Schizosaccharomyces pombe: one gene and its partner. The protein of the gene in region 1 interacts with the protein of each later gene in a biochemical or structural test. Each region holds a gene or a part of one and is shown on either strand. Other genes may lie near its edges. The genes, in order: hhp1 and rec8.

Region 1 (4,809 bases):
TGGAAGAAGTACCTATTGCATAAATGGAAATATTGGAATCATCCTGTATAGCACAGAATGAATAAAACATTCTTCGAATAGCGAGCTCAATCCATGCCTCAATATGTTTTCTGGATAGTAACCAAGAACGCAAGATAGTATAAGAAGTTGCAATTCCTAATATTTGCAAGCAGCATTCAAAAATATCAAGACTTAGTAACGATTGAAAGTTTAGCTTAGTGACAGCCTTCTTAATGGCTGCAAAGCCATTGTCAGTAATAAAGAGTTGTGGAAAAAAATTACTGGGAATATCATTTCGAATGAACCCCCTCAATTTTCGTAACTCTTCTAACAGAACTTTTTCTGAGGGACAACCCTCAAGCCTCGATAACAACTCAACGCTTTTAGAATAGGCATTCGCCTTTCTGTCCATAGCAGCTTACTTGAATAAAAGATAGAAGAAAGAACCTAACAAAAATATTCGTTCCTAGCCCCTGGTGCACAAGTTTCGTATTTATTTCGATAAACTCTGGTCAAGTGAGTGTATATTATGAATAGGTCATGTGAGTTGAAGCAGAGAGAAATGGTTTTAAAAAAGAAAACGATTAATATATATAATCGATGAAATTAATGAAAATTGATGCTTGCTTAAATTTATCGTTATTGAAACTGGCAATAATAGTTCGTAGTGGTTGGCGGTGAAGTATAGCGGTGATAATGATTTCTTGCCAAACGAAGTGAACTATGAAAACTTGCTGTAGAAGAGAACTACACCAAATAGATAGTAAGTAAAGACAATTTATTTCTATTTCATTTATGCTTGTTGATTTTGAAGTAGGTGTCATCATTCTAAATTCATCTTATTGATAATTCAAAAACTTACAAACAACACCTTTCTAGTTTTTTCAAGTATGTTTACAAACTAAAATGAAAAGCAAAATATTTATTATATTTAGCAAACAGAAGTGTGAACAACATCGAAAGACACTTCATGAAATGAACGCTTCAATAAAACAGTCAAGCACGAGATCATGCACCCAGAACACGAACTAAAACAAACCATTCATCCCTCGAGCATTAAGTCATTGAATTTAAACGCATCTTAAGCATCCTAAGGTTAAACGACGCTGATTAAATGAGTTCAGCTTGGAAAAGACGGTATCTATAAAGAAAAGCAGCAAATAGCTGATAATATATTATTAAAAGTATATGAATGCAATGCCTTCTAATTAGATTAAACCCCAAGGCTCATCACACATAAAAAAGTAACCAATTTGCTTATGGCGTCGTAAAAAAAAGGCTTTAAACCACGCATAATCTGTCACCAGGATTCGTGTTAAGCGAAGATAAAATTATGATCATTTCTGCAGAAAATTCTCTCACTTTTTTCTGTTCCTGGCTCGAAACATATATGATAATGTATGAATAGATTCACAGGTAGTAAAAACAAATACCAAATGTATTATTAGCAAATGTACTAATATTAAAAAATTTTTCACCAAAACTTGCCATAATGAGGATATGATCATGAGGTTAGCATAGAATTTAAGTCAACACAAGATCTTCAGCCAAATAAGCTATGAACCCTCAATAAACTATAAGCAAAGTAACTTTCGCCATCCCAAGGAAAAAGCCCTGCGCTATCAACAAAATTAAAGGACGTCTGGAGGATAAAAGGCAAGTATTGGAAGACTCCAGATGAGAAGAAAATATAAAAATAATGTGCCCATGCTATATAATAATAATATGAAAGGCTAATCAATTAGGTCTGTTGATATATTGAGCTCCGGTTGCAGATGGATCATTTATAACAGGAACGGTTGTATTAATGTCTCCGCCTTTTTCATCAAAGTTTTGTTTTTGATAATTTCTAAATGAAGACCTCTCTGGCGGCGGATTAATAGCTTGAGGAGTTGCAGACAGTTGTTGCTGTAATTGCTGCTGATGTTGTTGGTCTTGTTGAGTCTACAATTTAAATGTTAGTAAATGTGACTATGTAAACTTCATAAAATATCATATTACATTGGTTTTCAATAACTCGGAAACCCAGAAAATAAAAAAAGCACTATTACCAAGATATCTCATACCTTTCTCTTCAAGGTCCAATCAAACATATAGTCAAACTCATAAGATTGCCGACAAAAAAGATCTCGGAAAAGCTTGCGAAGGTAGGCGTAATCAGGTTTGTCATCGAAACGTAAAGATCTCGTGTAATTGAGATAAATTGAGAACTCCTGAGGGAATCCCCGACATAAGACCTCTGTAGGCGTAGAGATCTTCTTCTCCATAATCTTTTCATACTTTTGCTTTTTCGTGGTAGCCTTCAATCCCTGCCAAGGCAGGCTACCACGACAAAAGTAGACGAGCACATAACCTAAAGATTCGAGGTCATCACGGCGGGATTGTTCAATACCTAAATGAGTATTGATGCTAGCATAGCGTGCAGTACCTGTAAGATTCTTGTTCTCGCGATAAGGAATGTGCAGGTGAGTTTTGTGATCACGATACTTCTTAGCCAATCCGAAATCAATTATGTTAACTTGATTTCCTCTTTTACCTATTCCCATTAAAAAGTTATCAGGCTTAATATCACGATGAAGAAAAGATTTTGAATGAATGAATTCAATTCGAGAAATGAGCTGGTCCGCAAGGAGAAGAACTGTTTTCAAAGAAAACTTTCGATTGCAAAAATTAAACAAGTCTTCCAACGAAGGACCCAATAAATCCATCACCATAGCGTTGTAATCACATTCTACACCGAACCAACGAACAAACGGGATTCCGACCCCTCCTGACAAAATGCGATAAACTCTGTATTCATACTCCAATTGAGGGTGTTTAGCACGAGTTGATTCTAGCTTGATAGCGACCTCTTCACCAGAAACGACATTAGTCCCAAGATAAATGTCTCCGAAAGATCCACTGCCAATTTTACGACCAATGCGATACTTGTTCCCAATCCGGAGGTCCAAAGCCATAATAATATTATAACGCTTTTAAGGCTAAAGGCACTCGCTTTTTCTCTCCAATATACTATAGATTGAAATTGAATGATGTGGTTGAGGTAAAAGTAGGGGTTCGAAAAAGTAGAGCAAGTTAGGTAACGTAGAAGTAAAGAACTTAAAGTAAACATAACGAGAGTTAGCATTGCTTTATCAAAATAACGATAATAAATTATAATACAAAAAAAATTCGCTATGCGATTAAATTATAATAGATAGTGAATTTGCGAATATTGATAGTTTACGATGAATGTAAATAAAACATACCTACATACATTCGTACATCCAATATCTATTTTTAGAATGGGAGCGTGATGCTTTTCTTGGTTTCTATTTTATCAATTACCATTTACTGAAAAATGTAAAATGTAAGGTATGGTTTATTAACACTAAGAATAAAAGGCTAATAAAATGTGTCCTTTATAACAGACTCTTCCTTGTAATCTATATACAAAATCTAATAATATTTGAGCCCCAGTAAACGAATGATCTAAAAAGATAGAGAAAATTCGGGTTCTCAGACGAAAATAAAAGCTGTAAGATACACTGTCTTTCCAGTTGAAGCGAAAAAGACCTCCAACCGAATATTGGAGTGCGAAAAAATAAAATGAAAGAACATTTTAAAACAATAAGAAAACCTTTTTCGGAAATTTAATATTGTAGTTCTTTACATAAGAAAAGCGAAAAATGCAAGGCATTTTTCTGTTCTAAATAAGAGTTGACTAATTCTCCATTGAGATTATAAATAATTTGGGTCAGGATTGTGACGACTGAGCGAATAGAATAAAATAAAATAAAATAAACTGACAATGGGCAGGATAAAAGAAAGGGGAAAAACACGCAAAACACTGATCTAACAATATGTACAATGAGCAGTGCGGAATTAAACTTGTAAATGAAAGAGAGTAATGAAATAGAAAGACAAGGCACTTAGAAATCTATAAGACTAACCTTCTTTTTTAGTGGAGAGCCAATTAACGGTTTGTAAGCTAGATACTTCTTTTTGGCAGACTCTAAATGAGTCATCTCTAAATCCGTCGTAATTTTGAAAGACGAAAATAGATCAGCCGTTGGAGATAGCGATATTTGAGAAATGGTTTCTGGATTATTTTCTCGTTGAGCGTCATTGGACATAGATGACTCATTAGAATCACTGCAAGTAATGAGACCAAACTCATAATCATCGGACAAAGTTTGATCCAAGAATGAGTCGGCATTAAAACAATGAGAATCAGGAGACCCATTAACGAATGGTTCTAAATTTTCTGCTTGAGTATCGAAAAAGAAGGCATCAGAAGGGTCCTGAATCATTTGCGTGTCAGTGAAAGGATCAAGAGGATTCAGCAACTCCGAGTCATCAGTCTGTAAACATTTAGTTTGCAGTATATCTTGAGGATCAACTAAGTACATTTCCTCGTCGACTAAATACTTAGATGAGTAACAAGCCAAAACCCATTTAGGAGATACACAAACGATTGGGACTTGAGCAGAACTAATTTTCTTGAGAGTTTCTTGTGAGCAGTCGTAGAGTACTGCGTGAGAAACGGGATTTTCCTCGGTCATTTGTAAAGACGCATGAACAGTTGCGCCCAATAGACGCAATTGTTCAGTAACGATTTCCATTGAAAACATACCTTCTCCGATTTCAACGTAAGCATGGACAGAGCTCAAAGGGAATTTTTGTTCTGTTTCATTAATTTTTGAAATGGTAAGGCCTTGTAAAGATCGAGAAAGGTAAGCCATGGGAACCGTTGGGTTCCATAAATCATGAGGATTTTTCTCATTCATGTCGGTTTGAAACAATCCCTCGTTCGGGGAGTAGTCTTTT
Region 2 (4,601 bases), 710 kb from region 1:
GGCCTCCGTTTAAACCAATATGAAGACATAATGTATAAAGAATTTCAGAAACATCCGGACAATCCTTTCAATAAGGTAAGAAGCGATAAGGGTACATGCATACTCTTTTTGATGATGACCATATCATGTATAAACCCTAAACAGGAAAACCATTGTAAATATCATTTTTACTAACAATTTCAGATGAATGTGAGCTATAACACTAGTCAAGATGAGGTTGAACAGCTTCGTAAAGCTCGTAAAGCAGAATTGGAAGCACGTTTACGCGAGTAACTATAGTTATGGCAATATGTTTAGAACTTTTCTTTTTCCTTTTTACTATGGTAATTCTTTTATATTATTTATAAATTATCAATAAACCAATTACTAAATAATTTTTCTCGACATTCAAAAATGAAATCTTAAATTAAACATGAGAAGTACAAAGTGATTTGGTGATACACCGGTAAATCAAAATTTACAGCTAACTTTGAATTTCTATTAGCACAAGAATGAGTGGAGCGTATACTAATTGTAGGGCACAAGTTCTATTCTAACCGCTTAATTTTTTTTTTTGTAGTAATTTTGTACTTGTTGCTTTCATTTACCCAATTATATGATATTTTTTGAACCATTAAGGAAGCCTACTGCTGAAAGCCAAACCACCTGGCAATATGGCTCTGGCAATGCTAAATCATCCGTTCCCCAACTACCCCCATCTCTTCAACACATAACCAAAAGCAGGAAATATTTATAAGACAGTTAAATTGTTTAACAATATAACTGTTATTTTATTGAATTTTGAATTTTTTCTTCTTTATTTACGCAAATGTCGAAAGTTGCTAGCGCTGCTGGAAAGGCGATTGATTGGGCTAGTGTAGCTAGCAAGCTGAAGCTTGATGCCGCAACTGCTTCTGCTATTGCTAATTTTCGCTCTCGTCATGCTCAGGCAGTTGCCAAATTGGGTACATTGCGAGAGCAGGCTACCACAGTCGACTTTGCTACCTATCGTAGTGTTTTAGCCAACAAGGAGATTGTAAATCGTATTGAGTCTTCTATGAAATCTTTTAAACCTGTGAAGATTGATTTAAATTCGCAACTCAAAGCGATCAATGCATTTGAAGCAAAAGCTAGCGAGGGTGCTAAGAAGAATGTCGAACTTGTCAAAGCTGAATTACAGAATTTGAGTGCTACATTGAAGAACATTGAACAAGCTAGGCCTACTGAAGAAATTACCATTGAGGATATGAAACAAGCAGTTCCCGAAATTGAGAAGATTGTTGAAACAATGGTTACCAAGGGCAAATGGGTCATCCCAGGCTACCGTGAAAAGTTTGGTGATTTGAGTATTATGTAGTTTGCTCCATTAATGAAACATTTTATAACTAGCAATCATATGTGTTATCAATACAAATAAATGTCAGTTGAAAGATAGATAAAATTTCGGTATTTATGAATGGTTTCAAGCAGTATGTTGAAATGTTTAACCATTATTATTAAAATTCTTTTATTGAGTTTCAAACTTCTTAGTACAACTTGAATGACTTTATTTAACCTATTATACAAACATCGTTCACAGCATAATAGTGCGTTAAAAATTTCCACGATCTTTTAATAAGCTATGTCAACTTACGTTAAGTTTTGTTATATTCGTATAATCTCTATTCGATCTAGTGGCACAATAATGAAATTGCTTGTACAATATTAACTATGGATACCTTGGTAGGAGAGCTCAAGATTGAAAGGGCACTAAAATCACATATCTTAGCTCAATTATTAATCATTAGCTTCCATTACATTGTGTTTTGACTCAATCAAAGTAATGATATTTAAATATTCAATCCTTACTTAGATTTTAATAAGACAATATATATTAGCAATGGAGACTTCACTGCAGTATACGTTGGATAACATGTGCCGAGCTGTTAAGTATTCGTTAATAACGATTTTATGTGAGATTAGCTCATATGGTTTAACAATGCGGTATTTCTATGCTTGAACTTCAAATATAATTTTGACGCGTTTAATAAGCTATCTGGTGAACTAACGCGTTCCTGTCTTTCACCATGTTTTACAATCAAGATGTTCTTACAAAGGAAAAGGGAGGAATGGGAGTAATTTGGTATAGATTTACTACAAGATAATAATAAAGCTAATAATTATAGGCTCGCTGCTACATTGGGTTCAAAACATTCATTACGCAAGCTTCACAAGAAAGACATTATGTCGGTAGATATCGATGAAGCTTGCGATTTTGTTGCCTTTTCTCCAGAACCGTTGGCACTACGATTAAGTAGTAATTTAATGATTGGTGTAACGCGTGTATGGGCCCATCAATACTCATTTTTCCATTGTATGTGATGACAGTAGTTTAGGCTGGCAATTTTCTTACTAATTATGCTTAGCCCAAGTTTCAACTCTTCATTTACGTGTTCGAAAAGAATTGGACCATTTCACTTCAAAACCGTTTAAGAATATCGATATTCAGAATGAACAAACGAAGTACGAGTACTATTGGATAATATGACAGATATTCAAATTGCTAACCTTTTAGCCCAAAGCAGTTACTACTCGCAGAAGATCCTGCATTTATCCCTGAAGTTAGTCTCTACGATGCATTTAATCTACCTTCTGTGGATCTACATGTTGACATGAGTTCTTTCACTCAACCCAAGGAAAATCCCAATATTTCAGTTCTTGAAACTCTTCCAGATTCTACTTCTTATTTGATCAATACCAGCCAAAATTATAGTTTACGAAACAATGTTTCGAGCTTTGTTTACGAGGACTCCAGAGCTTTCTCTACAGAAGAGCCCCTTGACTTTGAGTTTGATGAAAACGGGGATATCCAGGAATTGACCAAGGGCACTATAAATTCGGATCCGTCGCTACAAGCTGCTTCACAACATAGCAATCTTGGTTCCGTTCAAAGAGAATACAATAGTGAAGAACAAGAATCAAGGATTCACATGTTCGAAATCGATGAGGACGTTTTACCGTTACCCGTTCCATTGCAATCTGTTATGGATTCAGAGCATAATGAAAATGAACCGCGAGCTTTAAAAAGAAGAAAGGTCCAAAAACTGCTGGAGCCAGATGAAAACATAGAACTGTCTACTCGAACTTTGTCCCAATGGAGAAAGAATTATGTTGAACGAATGATTGCTTTGGAAGCAACAAAGTATGTTCGTCGTAGAGGAGCTTCTTCGGCAAAGAAGAAAGAATTGAACAAATTCTTTGATTGGGAATCTTTCCATCCTCTTTTAAAACCATGGATTGAAAAGCTCAAACCATCAAACAATACTCCCTCTGAAATTGACGATGTATTGAGGAACATTGATACTTCTGAAGTTGAAGTTGGACGGGATGTTCAGGGTGAATTAGGTTTAAACATACCTTGGAATACTTCATCTCGATCAAACAGTGCCATAAATTCTAAAAGCCATTCTCAAACTGGTAGTGAGCATTCCACCCCCTTGCTTGACACTAAATATAGGAAGCGCTTGCCGCATAGCCCATCGATGCCGAGTAGGGTAGAATTTCTTCCTGCCTTAGAATCAAGTCAATTTCATGAAACTCTGAACTCAGAACTTTCATTACAACTCTCTGATGACTTCGTACTATACAAAAATACTCAAGAAGAAAATGCACATTTAATGTTGAGCATGGAAAAAGAATGCGCAAACTTTTATGAGTATGCAAAAACGGCTATCTATGAAAATAATGGGCGCATAACATTTTCAAGCTTATTACCCAATGATTTAAAACGACCTGTAGTGGCCCAGGCATTTAGCCATTTACTGTGTAAGTATCACAATCAAACCACGAACTAACAAAACAATAGCACTAGCAACTAAGTCTGCATTTTTAGTTAAACAGGATAAACCATACTCTGAAATTAGTGTCTCTTTAAACCTAAAAAGCACCGATGCCATTTGAAACTTTTCACATGTTAAACTTAAAATTTTTAAAACGTTGAATTTGGGAATTAAACCCTTTGTTGAAGTTGTCAAAATAATTGACTATGTAATAACATTTAAATAGTATAGTATAACACTTTTCTTAGATTAATGAATGATAATGCTAGCGGATAAATAATTAAAATTAATTAACTACTTACCAAATTTATCTAATTATTATATCTTAAAATTGTGGTATATTATTTGTTGGCTGTTGTACATAGCATGACAGTAGCCTCTATAGTATACGAGTCTTGTTAGTCCAGCACTACAACTCAGGATAACTTTGACCATTGCAATGTTGATAAACTAGTGTTGAACTTCTCTTAATATGCCTAGAAGAAAGTCATTGAGGAGTCAACTATTAATTAACGGCATTGATAAAAGTCTGCTATCTGATGACAGCGCTGACAGTTCTGATATTGACGAAGAGGAAGTTTACGGTGTTTGGACTGAAGAGCCCTTTCAAAAAGAGGCTGGACGTTCTTATTACAGATCTTTAAAGAAAAACGATGTAATATATCGCGTTGGAGATGATATTACTGTACATGATGGAGACTCAAGCTTTTATCTGGGGGTAATTTGTAAATTGTACGAAAAAGCAATTGATAAGCATTCTGGAAAGAAATATGTTGAAGCAATTTGGTATAGTCGAGCTTATGC

Evidence for each region.
Region 2: of the proteins of hhp1 (region 1) and rec8, one has a biochemical effect on the other in vitro, tested with the Schizosaccharomyces pombe proteins (one study listed by BioGRID).

What each region holds. Positions count from the first base shown.
Region 1 is NC_003423.3:1,853,852-1,858,660, forward strand, and holds hhp1 (serine/threonine protein kinase (CK1 family) Hhp1), read right to left. Parts: upstream 3,060-4,809; 5' UTR 2,958-3,059; coding exon 2,067-2,957; intron 1,945-2,066; coding exon 1,738-1,944; 3' UTR 822-1,737; downstream 1-821. Other genes in the region: lvs1 (beige protein 1), read right to left, coding at 1-412; mug176 (BRCT domain protein), read right to left, coding at 3,912-4,809. UniProt on the Schizosaccharomyces pombe protein: Involved in DNA repair. Has a probable role in repairing alkylated DNA and may regulate the activity of protein(s) involved in double strand break repair caused by gamma rays.
Region 2 is NC_003423.3:2,566,893-2,571,493, forward strand, and holds rec8 (meiotic cohesin complex kleisin subunit Rec8), read left to right. Parts: upstream 1-2,045; coding exon 2,046-2,101; intron 2,102-2,110; exon of another isoform or gene 2,111-2,144; coding exon 2,145-2,332; exon of another isoform or gene 2,333-2,384; coding exon 2,385-2,481; exon of another isoform or gene 2,482-2,533; coding exon 2,534-3,783; exon of another isoform or gene 3,784-3,823; coding exon 3,824-3,918; 3' UTR 3,919-4,101; downstream 4,102-4,601. Other genes in the region: oxidative stress transcription coactivator/ribosome recycling protein Oxs1, read left to right, coding at 1-75, 184-273; atp7 (F0-ATPase subunit D), read left to right, coding at 809-1,336; origin recognition complex subunit Orc1, read left to right, coding at 4,270-4,601. UniProt on the Schizosaccharomyces pombe protein: Involved primarily in the early steps of meiotic recombination. Required to ensure reductional chromosome segregation.